Linked DNA regions of Macaca fascicularis. The protein of the gene in region 3 interacts with the protein of the main gene of each other region in a pairwise test. Links are inferred from orthologs where the notes say so. Each region holds a gene or a part of one and is shown on either strand. Other genes may lie near its edges.

Region 1 (3,749 bases), on a different chromosome or scaffold from region 3:
AAGCGATGTCCTTGCCATACCCAGACAGGTTTTCTCCATGTATGCACTAAACCACTGAATATGCTGGAAAAAAGTTTTTAATTTTTTTTTCCTTGCATCCTACTATTTCTCTAGTAACCTCATTCTCCCACACTCCACAATGACTTTCAAATCTTCTACAATATTCTCAAATTTCTCACAATTGTATCCTCAATTGGATCCTGGATAATCCCTTATCTCCATCGGTTAGCGCATCCTCTCCTCCTCTTTACAATCATATCTATGAAACATACTGTGTAGGTTCACTACCTACATTTTCTTGTCCAAATCCTTGCCTCATATCTGGCTTTTTGCCCAATCACACCAACAAAATAACTCTTGCTAACGTTACCATGACCTCCACAATGATAAAAGCCAAAATATATTTTTCAATCTTCATGTTATTTAAATTCTAGAAGTTTCTATCACAAATCATTCTTTTGCTTCTGAAACATTCCTCCAGTCTTCCTTCCTTCCTTCTGTATCTCCTGTAGGTTGATCCACCTGTTCTTCACCATTAAATGTTGGAACTAGTCAAGGTTCTGACTTAGGTGACCTTATCCACACCTATGGCTCAATTCACATACATACAAATTATCCCCAATTTTATATTCCCAACACAAATCTCTCTTCTGAGCACAAAGCTGTGTTTCAAACTGCCTCCTGGATATCATGAATGACCCCACACAATCAATCAATCAGTCAAAACTGGTCTCAGCTGGGAGCAGTGGCTCAAGCCTGTAACCCCAGAATTTTGGGAGGCCGAGGCATGTGGATACTTGAGGCCAGGAGTTGGAGACCAGCCTGGCCAATACGGTGGAACCCCATCTCCAATAAAAATACAAAAATTGGCCGGGCATAGCGGTGGCGACTGTAATCCCAGCTACTGGGGAGGCTAAGGCAGGAGAATTGCTTGAACCTGGGAGGTGGAGGTTGCAGTGAGCCGAGATTGTGCCACCGCACTCCAGCCTGGGCGACAGAGCAAGAACCTGTCCCCCACAAAAAAAAAAAAAAAAAAAAAAAAAAACACAAAAAAAACTGGTCTCTAGTCGTCTTCTAGTGTTCCCTATCCAGCTTGGGGGATTCCGTGATAGTGAGTAAATGGTACCACCATCTATCTATTCAACTACATTAGCCAGAAACCTATGAGTTACCTTTGATTCCTGTCTTCACTCACTAAAATCAACCCTTCACCAAGTTCCGCCCATTTTACCTCCTACATACCTCTAGAATCTGTCCAATTCTCTGCAGTTCCACCCACTTCTCAGTCCTCACTGACATCTCTGACCAGGATTACTGTATATCCTAAGTGGTCCACATGTATCGACTAGGGCTTCCCCAGCCCCAATCTGTTCACACCACTGAGCCTGAGAAATCAAGCCCCCTCCTCCACCACACCCCACCGGGGGAAGACGGCTCAGTGGTATCCCATCCGTTTTAAAATAAAGCTACAAATTCCTGCAAGGTCTGACCGCTATCACGTACAGCTTCATCTTGTACCATACTCCCCTTCATTCTCTTTGTATCAGTCACACTGGCTCTTTGTGCTTTTAGTCATTTTTCCTCCCAAGTGCCTCAGGGCTCTGAACAAGTAGTTCTCTACGGAAGGTTCTGCCTTTACCTCTTCACTTAATTAATTACAATTCTTCCTGCAGCTACCAGAGCAGGCATCTTTTCCTCTGAAAAACCTTCCTGCTTATTTCAGGCACTCAGCATCAAACAGCACTAGGAGGCATTTCCATGTATTAGTGAGGTCATTGTTTAACGTTTTCCCCACCAGACTTAAACGCCCTGAGAGTAGGGACCGTGTCTGGTTCACGACGTACCCCCAACGCGCTGCTAAATAAATATCAGCTGGACGACTGACGCAATGACCACGTTCATGGGCATGAGTCTCAAATTTCTCAACAAGACTGCGCTCTGGAGAAGGAGTCGGACATTTCCTTCATCATTGTCTCTCTCAGGGGGGCAGAGACTAGGCCCTAATCAAAAACTGCAAAATCAGTGGCAGAAACAAGTCAGCCTCCTCGGCCAAACGGGGCGCCGGAGGAAGTTGGAACACAGGCCTTTCTCCCTGGGAATGCCCGGCACAGGACTGGCCACGACGGGCGCTCTTGAAGAAGGGAGCCGCAGGGACTGGGTCTTGCCGCCAGAGACCCCCAAGGCTCCGCTCCCGCCCGGAAAGGGAGCCCATGCTACTACTTACCACAGCTGGGGACTCGGGGCCCCGCCTCCCACCCCTTGCTATCGGCACCCTCAGCTGAGAAGGGCAGCTTCAGACTGCACAACCGAGGCGTCGCCTTCAGACTCAGGCTGCCACCCACCCAGCTCTTCCTCATACGTACTAGGCGTCAGCTCCAGGCCCCCGAGTCCCGGCGCTGAACTAAACGCCGAGCCCAGTCAGCCAGCGCGTTTCCACCCACAAGACCCAGCGCGCCTAGGGAGGTCGCCAGCTCCGTCCACCAATCCTGGAATCGCACTCTCATGACGTCAGAAAGATATGCCCAATAACAAGAGACTATCCGAGGGCAGTGCAAATGGGTATATTGAAAACCGATTGGTTCTTCCAAGCTGGAAGTTGTGGAGGAAGGACTAAGCTGGAACCAATTGCGTGGCGCCTGAGGGGGGCAGCGCGGTCAGTGGCGGCGCTGAAGAGACCGGTTGCCGCCATGATAGAACAACAGAAGCGTAAGGGCCCAGAGTTGCCGCTGGTTCCAGTCAAGCGGCAGCGGCATGAGTTGCTACTGGGAGCGGGGTCGGGCCCGGGAGCCGGGCAGCAGCAGGCGACGCCGGGAGCTTTGCTGCAAGCGGTAAGTGAAGAAGCAGGCGGCCTTTGGCCCTCAGCTCATCTTCCTCCCCTCAGAGCGCTGTATCTGGTGACCCGGCACCGACCCTTCCCGCATTGCGGGGGGCAGAACGAGAGTTTCTACCTAGAGTTAAAGCACACCAACATTGTAAAAGCGCCTCATAGCCTGCGGATGCTCAGTACTTGTTCGCCCGTTTGGCGCTGGTTTTCAGCCTCTCGACTGCCTTGTGAGGTAGCGTTAGAATTAGCGTTGAGAACCTTGGGCTCACAACCCGGACCCGGGCTTAAGCATCCTGACTCTAACATGGATCTAGCGTAGAACAGAAATTCCGAAGACTTTGTAGAATGAATGAATGAGGGAGGGAGGAAAAGAGGGAAATGATTGGTGTTGGCTCGTTTTGGGACTTTGGGCAAGTTGCTTTTCCCTTTATTTCTCTGCACTAGTATTATTAACAACTGAATAGCAGCTAACATTCGTTGACTCTTGTACTAAGGTGTTTCGTATATGAAATTTCCATTGATCTTGGTAGCAGCCTGTTAGGAACGTTATTAACCCATTTTGCAGATGGAAAAGCAGACTTATCAAGCACGTGATAGAAACAGATGTTGAACTGAGAAACCATGCTCCTAACTATATTTTTTGTAAGATGGAAATAGTGATCACACTTCTAATGCCCTGTTTAGGCTCAGACGAGGAAATACGAGTGTCCTCTCATCTCCTCAATAAATCCTGCTGGCACCGTTCTCAAAATAGATCTAGAATTGCTACTTCTACCATTTCCATCACTGCCTCATGGCCTAAGCCGTTATTATCTCATCTGGCATTTTTGTAGTGGGACCCTAACTGGTCTTCCACTTTCTGCCTTTGTAGCAGCACCTGTTACCAAGCCAATAACCAAAGGAATCCTTCTAAACAACGGATCAC
Region 2 (3,749 bases), on a different chromosome or scaffold from region 3:
GACTTAATCTGCGTACACTAAAAGGAACGAATAGAGCTATTTCTCCTCCAATGTCCTCTAATATTCTCCAAACAATTAAATTTCCACGTGTATGAAAGAAAAGCCATCCATCTCGCTTCACCATTATTAGAAGCATTCTCACATTCCACATCAACAATCAAAGAGGTAAGAAAAATTTATCAAACAGATTACATTAAATACGTATGTTAAATGCTACATATGATAAGCCATTTAAGACAGTCTTGTCATCCACTGATTCATATAACTTACTGCAACAGTTGCATGATTGAAAACAATTTTCATAAACGACAGATAACTCCTAAAATATACCTGCAGTATCTTCTGGCTTCTTGGTATTAGCCCTGTAAAAAAAGTTACATCAAAATTTTAGCATAATACTACACAAAATGCCATGTTTGTTGGGAAAAGAAATGTCTTATGTGAAATGTTCTGCACAGAATAGAACAGTGATGACATGGTCCAAAGGTGACTTTTCCTAAAAGACCCTATCCGACAGGCAAAAGTGACTTAAACACTTTACCCCGTGTGCTCGTCTTTTTCAGCAAAAGGTTCTCTTTCCCCATGCTCATCAGTTACATCTTCCTCCCTTGTTTCTGTAAAAGGGTTTCTTTCCTCACATTCGTCACTGACTGGATCCTTTCCTGCATTAAAATTTAAAAGACAAACCTTTTTTAGAGGAAGACACTGTTGTGGACTTTTTTTGTGGAGAAATGTACTAGTTGTAGACTTTTTTTTTTTTTTTTTTTTTTTGGCTATCTGCCAATTAAGGCTTTAAAGCAGAGCTGTACATGGAATCACCGGCTTCTGACCATTTTATCAAGGCACTTTTGGAAGCCCTTCGGGTTCAAGTCCCAGTAAACAACGTACTACACGTCAGACCCCTTGGATGTCATGACTGCACTCATGGAGAAGAGCTGCTCTGGGAGCATCTGTAACCCCGCTATGAGGGGAGCCTTTTACGGGAAGCCTAAGGCCCTTGAGCCTGCTTTGAAAACCTGGGGCATCTTAGCACGTGCACGATGGACTCCAAAGCCACGAAGGGGCCCGGGTCCTTGGGCTACCCCTGTGCCCCCAGCGCAGAAAGCAGACAGACCGTCCTCTTGGGCGTGCACTTTCTTCCGGGTCACCTTGGGCTGTATTTACCTGCACGCTCCTTCCCCTGGGCCGCCATAAATTGAGCCTCCAACTGGGCCTTGGCAGCCCTCCTGCCCACAGGATCCGTGGCTGGCTGTCCTGGGAAGCTACAGGTGATCCCTGAACCTGATGAGGGCAAAGGCACACTAAGGAAGCAAAGGAACCCTGGCATCGGAAAGGAAAGCCATTGGGATCACAGGTTTAAGAAGGGTGGGGCTGGCACGCCCTGGGCCTCCTGTGGGAGCAGGAGGGGACCGAAAAGATGCCAGTGTCCCCTCCTGTCCTGGCCCGTCCAGCCCGTCCAGCCCGTCCCCGGGGCTGGCTGCAGAGCTCACAGCTGCCCCTCACACCTGAACTCCACGGCGTCTGCGGGATCCTCGCCGCACCTTTGGGACAGAACTCAGCCCTACCTCTGGGTCCCCCAGCGACCCCGTGTGGCTGGGAGGGCCACCGGGTGACACAGGATCTCCCCAGCCACCTCCAGAGGAATGTCAGGGGCTGCACTGTCACTCACCCGCCTGGATGCACAGGGGACCCCTGATGACCCCAAGTGTCCTGTCCTGACGGGAGGCCGGGCAGGAGGGCCCCACTCAGACTGTCCCCAACAACACCCTCGCCCCACCCCCACTTCCCCCCACCTTCCGCACCTCCCCCCAACACATGCACAAGCCCTCCTGGGCCCTAGGGATCACCCAGGCGGCTCCAGCTCCCTCCCTGCCCTGGCCCACCCCAGCCCACCCTCAGGGCCTCGCCCTGACCCAGGCCCCAGGCGACCACGCCAGGGGCATTTCCTCACAGGTCAGCGGGCGGCCCAGCGCTTCACACCCTGGTTCCCAGAGGGCCTCGTGCCTGCGTTTCCGCCTCCCCACCGCGAGCGCTTCACCTGAGGGACCCCTGATGTGGCGCCCTCAAAGAACCTGCAGACAACAGCACCACTAGGATCTCTTAGAAAACGGGTCCTCTCAGGAGGCTGAGGCAGAATGATTGCTTGACCCCGGGAGGCGGAAGTTGCAGTGAGCCCAGATCGCGCGGCTGCACTGCAGCCTGGGCGGCAAGAGCCAGACTGTCTCAAAAAACAAAAAACAAAAAACAAAAAAGAAAACAAGTACTCAGTTCTCGTGAGAGCTGCCGACAGCACTTCCTACGCTCCTCGCAGATTGGTCGACTCAGTGCACATGCGTGTGACAGGCCGTGTGGGGCCACGCCCCCTGCTGGCACGCCCTCCCCCTTCCCCTAAGTGACAGCAAGTGGTTGCTGTGGACTGAGGTGGGGTTGGCCCTTTGGGGCCTCTGTTCCCACATTCTTTCAGCTTCTGCTCCTGGGGAGGGACACAGGACTTGGTATGGAGGCCAAGTGGACAGGGCCTAGAACCTCGCCCTGGGGCTCTTTCCAGCCACCCCTGCCCCTTTGGCTAGAATGGCCATCATCCTATGGGTTGGGCCCAGGCTCCCTCCCATGCCCTGTGTGCTTCCAACATGCCCAGCTGCATCCTTTTCAATCAATGGATTGTGCTTTTATTGTTTTTGTTTGTTTTTGAGACTGTGTCTCACTCTATCGCCTAGGCTGGAGTGCAGCAGGGTGATCTCAGCTCACTGCAACCTCCGCTTCCCGGGTTCAAGTGATTCTCCTGCCTCAGCCTCCCAAGGAGCTGGAATTACAGGAGCCCAACACCAAGCCCTGCTAATTTTTTTTTTTTTTTTAGTAGAGACGAGGTTTCACCATGTTGTCCAGGCTGGTGTCAAACTCCTGACCTCAGTTGATCTGCACGCCTTGGCCTCCCAAAGTGCTAGGATTACAGGCATGAGCCACCGTGCCCTGCCCATAACCATTTTTGTTTCCTCACTACTTTTCTTTCTCATCCTCATGCCCCAGACTTGCCCACAAACCCTCATGCTCCAGACTTATCCAGACATATGCCACAACCTTCACCCACAAATTAATGCCTTAATACTTATCGTTAACTCAGCTTTTTCCCACCTCCAGTCGCCTATAATAGGGGGAGAGTTGTTTTGGAGTTAGGAGTAAATAAATATTGCCTAAAGTTTGTAAATCAAGATATAGAGTTTCATTATATTATTGAAATTATATCCCAGCACTTTGGGAGGCTGAGACGGGCAGATCACAAGGTCAGGAGATCGAGACCATCCTGACTAACACGGTGAAACCCTGGCGACAGAGCGAGACTCCACCTCAAAAAAAAAGAAAAGAAAAGAAATTACAAAGGCAGTCATCAGGAAAACTAATCCACAGCCTTAAATGTCTATATAACCAAAAAGAGCACACACAAAGAACACAAATCCTGTAGTAAAAGTTGGAAAATAAAGAAAATACTCCAGAGACCATAACATAAAGGAACAAAATTAAGGCCAAGTGAATCTGTTGAGCAAGAAATATGAATGAGATAAACTCAGAATCTAAAGGAAATGACTTCCAACTTGGATCAAAATAAAAATCTAAGTATATGCTGTATGTAAGAATGGAGCTAAAACAAAATGATACAAAAAATACATGTCAGACAAATATGAAGAAAAGGAAAATATGGATCTGGGAATTGATAGCTCGCAAATGTAAAATAATGCAAAAAATAAATGAAT
Region 3 (3,649 bases):
AAACAAGCTGTATAGCAGTAGCAGATTTTTATATTCAACCTCTGAACCATGGTTAATTGTGCGACTTATTGTTTCTGTACTCTTTAAAAACACTGTTGTATCTTACAAGTAGTATGATATAGGAGAAAAAACTTGAGTCAGACCATACTAATAGAATTTTCAAAGTCAGTTTCAAGTGTTATTAAGTATTATCTGGTCTCAGGTATTGCTAGGGACAGTCAGTAGCCTCAATGAGTTCCTGCTGCATGGCAGGGGTGAACCAGCTCTCTTGGCCCTGGTAATCTGGGGTTCCCAGCTGGAAGCAATTTTCCTGACACTCAGTCTCAGCACTGTGAGCTGTTCTTAGGGCCCCTGAATGTCAGCTTGTTCTGGGAAATGATGTCTCCCATAGCTGAAAGTGAATTTCACCTGCCTATCTTCTAGATCATGCATAAGTTTGGTGAAAGCAAATGATGCAGTAACAGACAGACTAAAATGTAACTTTATGTATACATATTTAATTAGAATAGCCATAAACCAAAAAGAAGAAAAAACTCAGGATAAAATGTCACTATCATTTTGTTTGCAAGGAGTCAGGAAATGGAACAAGTTACCAGAAAAATATTCTAAGACCATCCCAAAGTAGCTAGGTTACATAATCTTAAGAGTCAAATGCCAAAATTAAGTATTATACCACTTAATCCACAAATGAACAAAAGAGGAGTCAAAAGTTTATCCTGTTTAGTGTAATAACTTTTACATTAAATATATAGTGATTCACTTCTCACAAAGTGGTGCTGGCAACTTTTAGAAGAAAGAAGTTTCCATTATGCATTGACTAAAAAATCTCAAAAACAACTAAGCAGCTATGCTATAGCTCAGTAAGTACCATTAAACTGTTCTGGGCTAGTGTACATTTCAGGTTAATAGAGATCTACATTTTGGGTTTTAGAAAGGCAGCAATAATTATATTTTGGCTTTTAGTCTAGATGCTTAACATAGTTAAGGCGACAGTTTAAGCATATTAAATGAAGGTAGTTAAAATTTAAGAATCATCACAATCTCTTGCAACCTACATACACTGTTTAATGCTTACATGGAATGAAACCAGTGTTCTTAATTGGCATTTTATACACACACAGAATTTTTTTAAAAAATCAAAGGCAATCATTCTAAATGTACTATGGTAGCATGTTAAAAATGCAAATATGCTATAGAACTAAAGTAATATGAACAGCACTACTCATTACCTAGGAGAAAGGTGACTGGTTTTCACACAAAGCTAAGCCTGTATCAGTCATCCTAATCACAATGGCTTATAAAAGCATCAGGTTTCCAGTAGAGAAACTGTTCTAGGAAAGTCAGTAAATCTCTTGAAAGTTTCACATCTGTAAAACCAGGATAAGGCTACAACTATTTTGAAATCTGAACAAGGTATCAGATGAAAATAGTAAGATTCCCAGCCATAATGTAAGATAGAAAAGTCCTCATGCAGCATATGCTTGCTGGCTCCGGGAAAGCTTCATGTGCATAATACAGAAGTTGCCAAAGAAGGAAACTGGAGACGTTCAGCTGCATTTCCATGGTGCCGTGAATTTTAAACCTCAGGAATGGTGTGGTCCATTAGGCTTTTCATGATGCTTGGTGCCATCCTACAAAAGAGGTGCTTTTATTATATACTGAGATTCTGTCCCCCCCCCCCCGAAAATGCTATGTTAATCCAAGAAAATTCCCAATTCCAATTTAGCACCTGTTAGCATCAAATGTGAATGGAGAGAAGGAAAGATCTTTTAAATGAGTCCAGAAGCATCTCTGGTAATCTAGTTGTTGACAGACCCTCAGTGGGAAAGGCTATCTGTATTTGGCTAGAGAAGTTAGGATACAAATGAATTCTTGTACATTAAACCTGGTGATTTTTTTTTTTTTTTTTTTTTTGAGGCGGAGTCTGGCTCTCTTGCCCAGGCTGGAGTGCAGTGGCTGGATCTCAGCTCACTGCAAGCTCCGCCTCCTGGGTTCACGCCATTCTCCTGCCTCAGCCTCCCGAGTAGCTGGGACTACAGGCGCCCGCCACCTCGCTCAGCTAGTTTTTTGTATTTTTTAGTAGAGACGGGGTTTCACTGTGTTAGCCATGATGGTCTCGATCTCCTGACCCTCGTGATCCACCCGTCTCGGCCTCCCAAAGTGCTGGGATTACAGGCTTGAGCCACCACGCCCGGCCAAACCTGGTGAATTTTAAAAAACAGAAAATGACACGGCTGTGATGAGTTGGGGTAGAGGGATCCATCAGTGATTTAAAAAAAGAGAACCTTAGAACAATTAGTCATGACAATAACTCCTTTTTACCCCCTCGAAGCGTAGGGAGGTGCATTCTATCCAGAAGCCAACATACAAATTTCATTACAATGGTTATGTTTATGAATCTTTTAAATCTCATTTTCACATGCATGATAGAGGTTCTGAAAGAAGGATTCCAAGCTGGCTTGACAAAAACAGCTATGGTAGATGCTAGGATACGAAAAGCTGTATAGAAGTAACCTTGTTGCCTCTTTTCATTTCTGATCACTTGGCTTTCTAATCCTCAGTTCCTGAGCACAGATAGCACCAACACACCACACATGTCTATCTGCTTCCTGAGATTCTGGAGAGAAGGGAAACTTACTCCTAGCATTCCACCAGCAAGAATTCTCCATTACGAACCACTACAACTATATTTATACTGAGCAGAGGAGTGGCAGGCAGTACAACTGCAGTCAATTGTACTGCAAATTGAAAGCTAAAAGCATGCCCACTTTTCCTTGCATTCTTCTACTAGGCAATATCAAAACTGAGGAAAGTATATGTGGATTTTATTCCATACTTGGGAAGTTGTAAGAGCTCATCCTTACCAACCCCGCTGACTTAAATAACTTACTTCAAATTTCTAGATAAACACCAGTATTCATTCCTTAGGTAAAAGACCCAAAGGGCTGAGAATTAAACTATAGTGCTTACATTAAGTCACACGACCATATGCATTAAGTTGAGGAATTGTTTACTTACCGCTTAATAATATGTTCAAAGATAAAAGCAGGCATGATTGTAATAGTAACTACAGTCCCAGATGTTGATAGTATGTCTGCAATTTGAGAGTCCTGATAAAAACACATATTAAAAATCAATTCCACAGAGGCTTTATTTAATAAATACAAAATTATGCCAGTCTTGGTAAAGAAATACAAAATATATGTCCTGTTATGTTTTGTTAAGATCTCTAAAATCCTGCTTGGTATTTCTAATTTTTTTCTAGTATTTCTTTTTTTTTTTTTTTTTTTGAGACGGAGTCTCGCTCTGTCGCCCAGGCTGGAGTGCAGTGGCGCGATCTCGGCTCACTGCAAGCTCCGCCTCCCGGATTCACGCCATTCTCCTGCCTCAGCCTCCCGAGTAGCTGGGACTACAGGCGCCCACAACCGCGCCCGGCTAATTTTTTGTATTTTTAGTAGAGACGGGGTTTCACCGTGGTCTCGATCTCCTGACCTTGTGATCCGCCCGCCTCGGCCTCCCAAAGTGCTGGGATTACAGGCGTGAGCCACTGCGCCCGGCATTTTTTTCTAGTATTTCTTACCAAGTTTAATTGTACACTATTTTACAGCTAGTAACCAGTTTGCTTAAGTAAACTGAGTTGAATATTTTA

What was found.
Region 1: the proteins of SDCBP (region 3) and ZCCHC17 interact in binary tests that used the Homo sapiens proteins (3 or more experiments, as listed by UniProt). The two-hybrid records come from large-scale screens. The link is inferred for Macaca fascicularis from reciprocal best matches to the Homo sapiens genes SDCBP and ZCCHC17.
Region 2: the proteins of SDCBP (region 3) and FAM9B interact in binary tests that used the Homo sapiens proteins (3 or more experiments, as listed by UniProt). The two-hybrid records come from large-scale screens. The link is inferred for Macaca fascicularis from reciprocal best matches to the Homo sapiens genes SDCBP and FAM9B.

Annotation. Positions count from the first base shown.
Region 1 is NC_088375.1:203,712,027-203,715,775, forward strand, and holds the start of ZCCHC17 (zinc finger CCHC domain-containing protein 17), read right to left. Parts: upstream 2,442-3,749; 5' UTR 2,225-2,441; intron 1-2,224. Other genes in the region: SNRNP40 (U5 small nuclear ribonucleoprotein 40 kDa protein), read left to right, coding at 2,688-2,828.
Region 2 is NC_088395.1:8,686,134-8,689,882, forward strand, and holds the start of FAM9B (protein FAM9B), read right to left. Parts: upstream 2,324-3,749; 5' UTR 2,039-2,323; intron 1,282-2,038; 5' UTR 1,193-1,281; coding exon 1,165-1,192; intron 663-1,164; coding exon 542-662; intron 363-541; coding exon 331-362; intron 1-330. UniProt on the Homo sapiens protein: May play a role in meiosis.
Region 3 is NC_088382.1:68,560,283-68,563,931, reverse strand, and holds the end of SDCBP (syntenin-1), read right to left. Parts: intron 3,111-3,649; coding exon 3,019-3,110; intron 1,632-3,018; coding exon 1,577-1,631; 3' UTR 478-1,576; downstream 1-477. UniProt on the Homo sapiens protein: Multifunctional adapter protein involved in diverse array of functions including trafficking of transmembrane proteins, neuro and immunomodulation, exosome biogenesis, and tumorigenesis.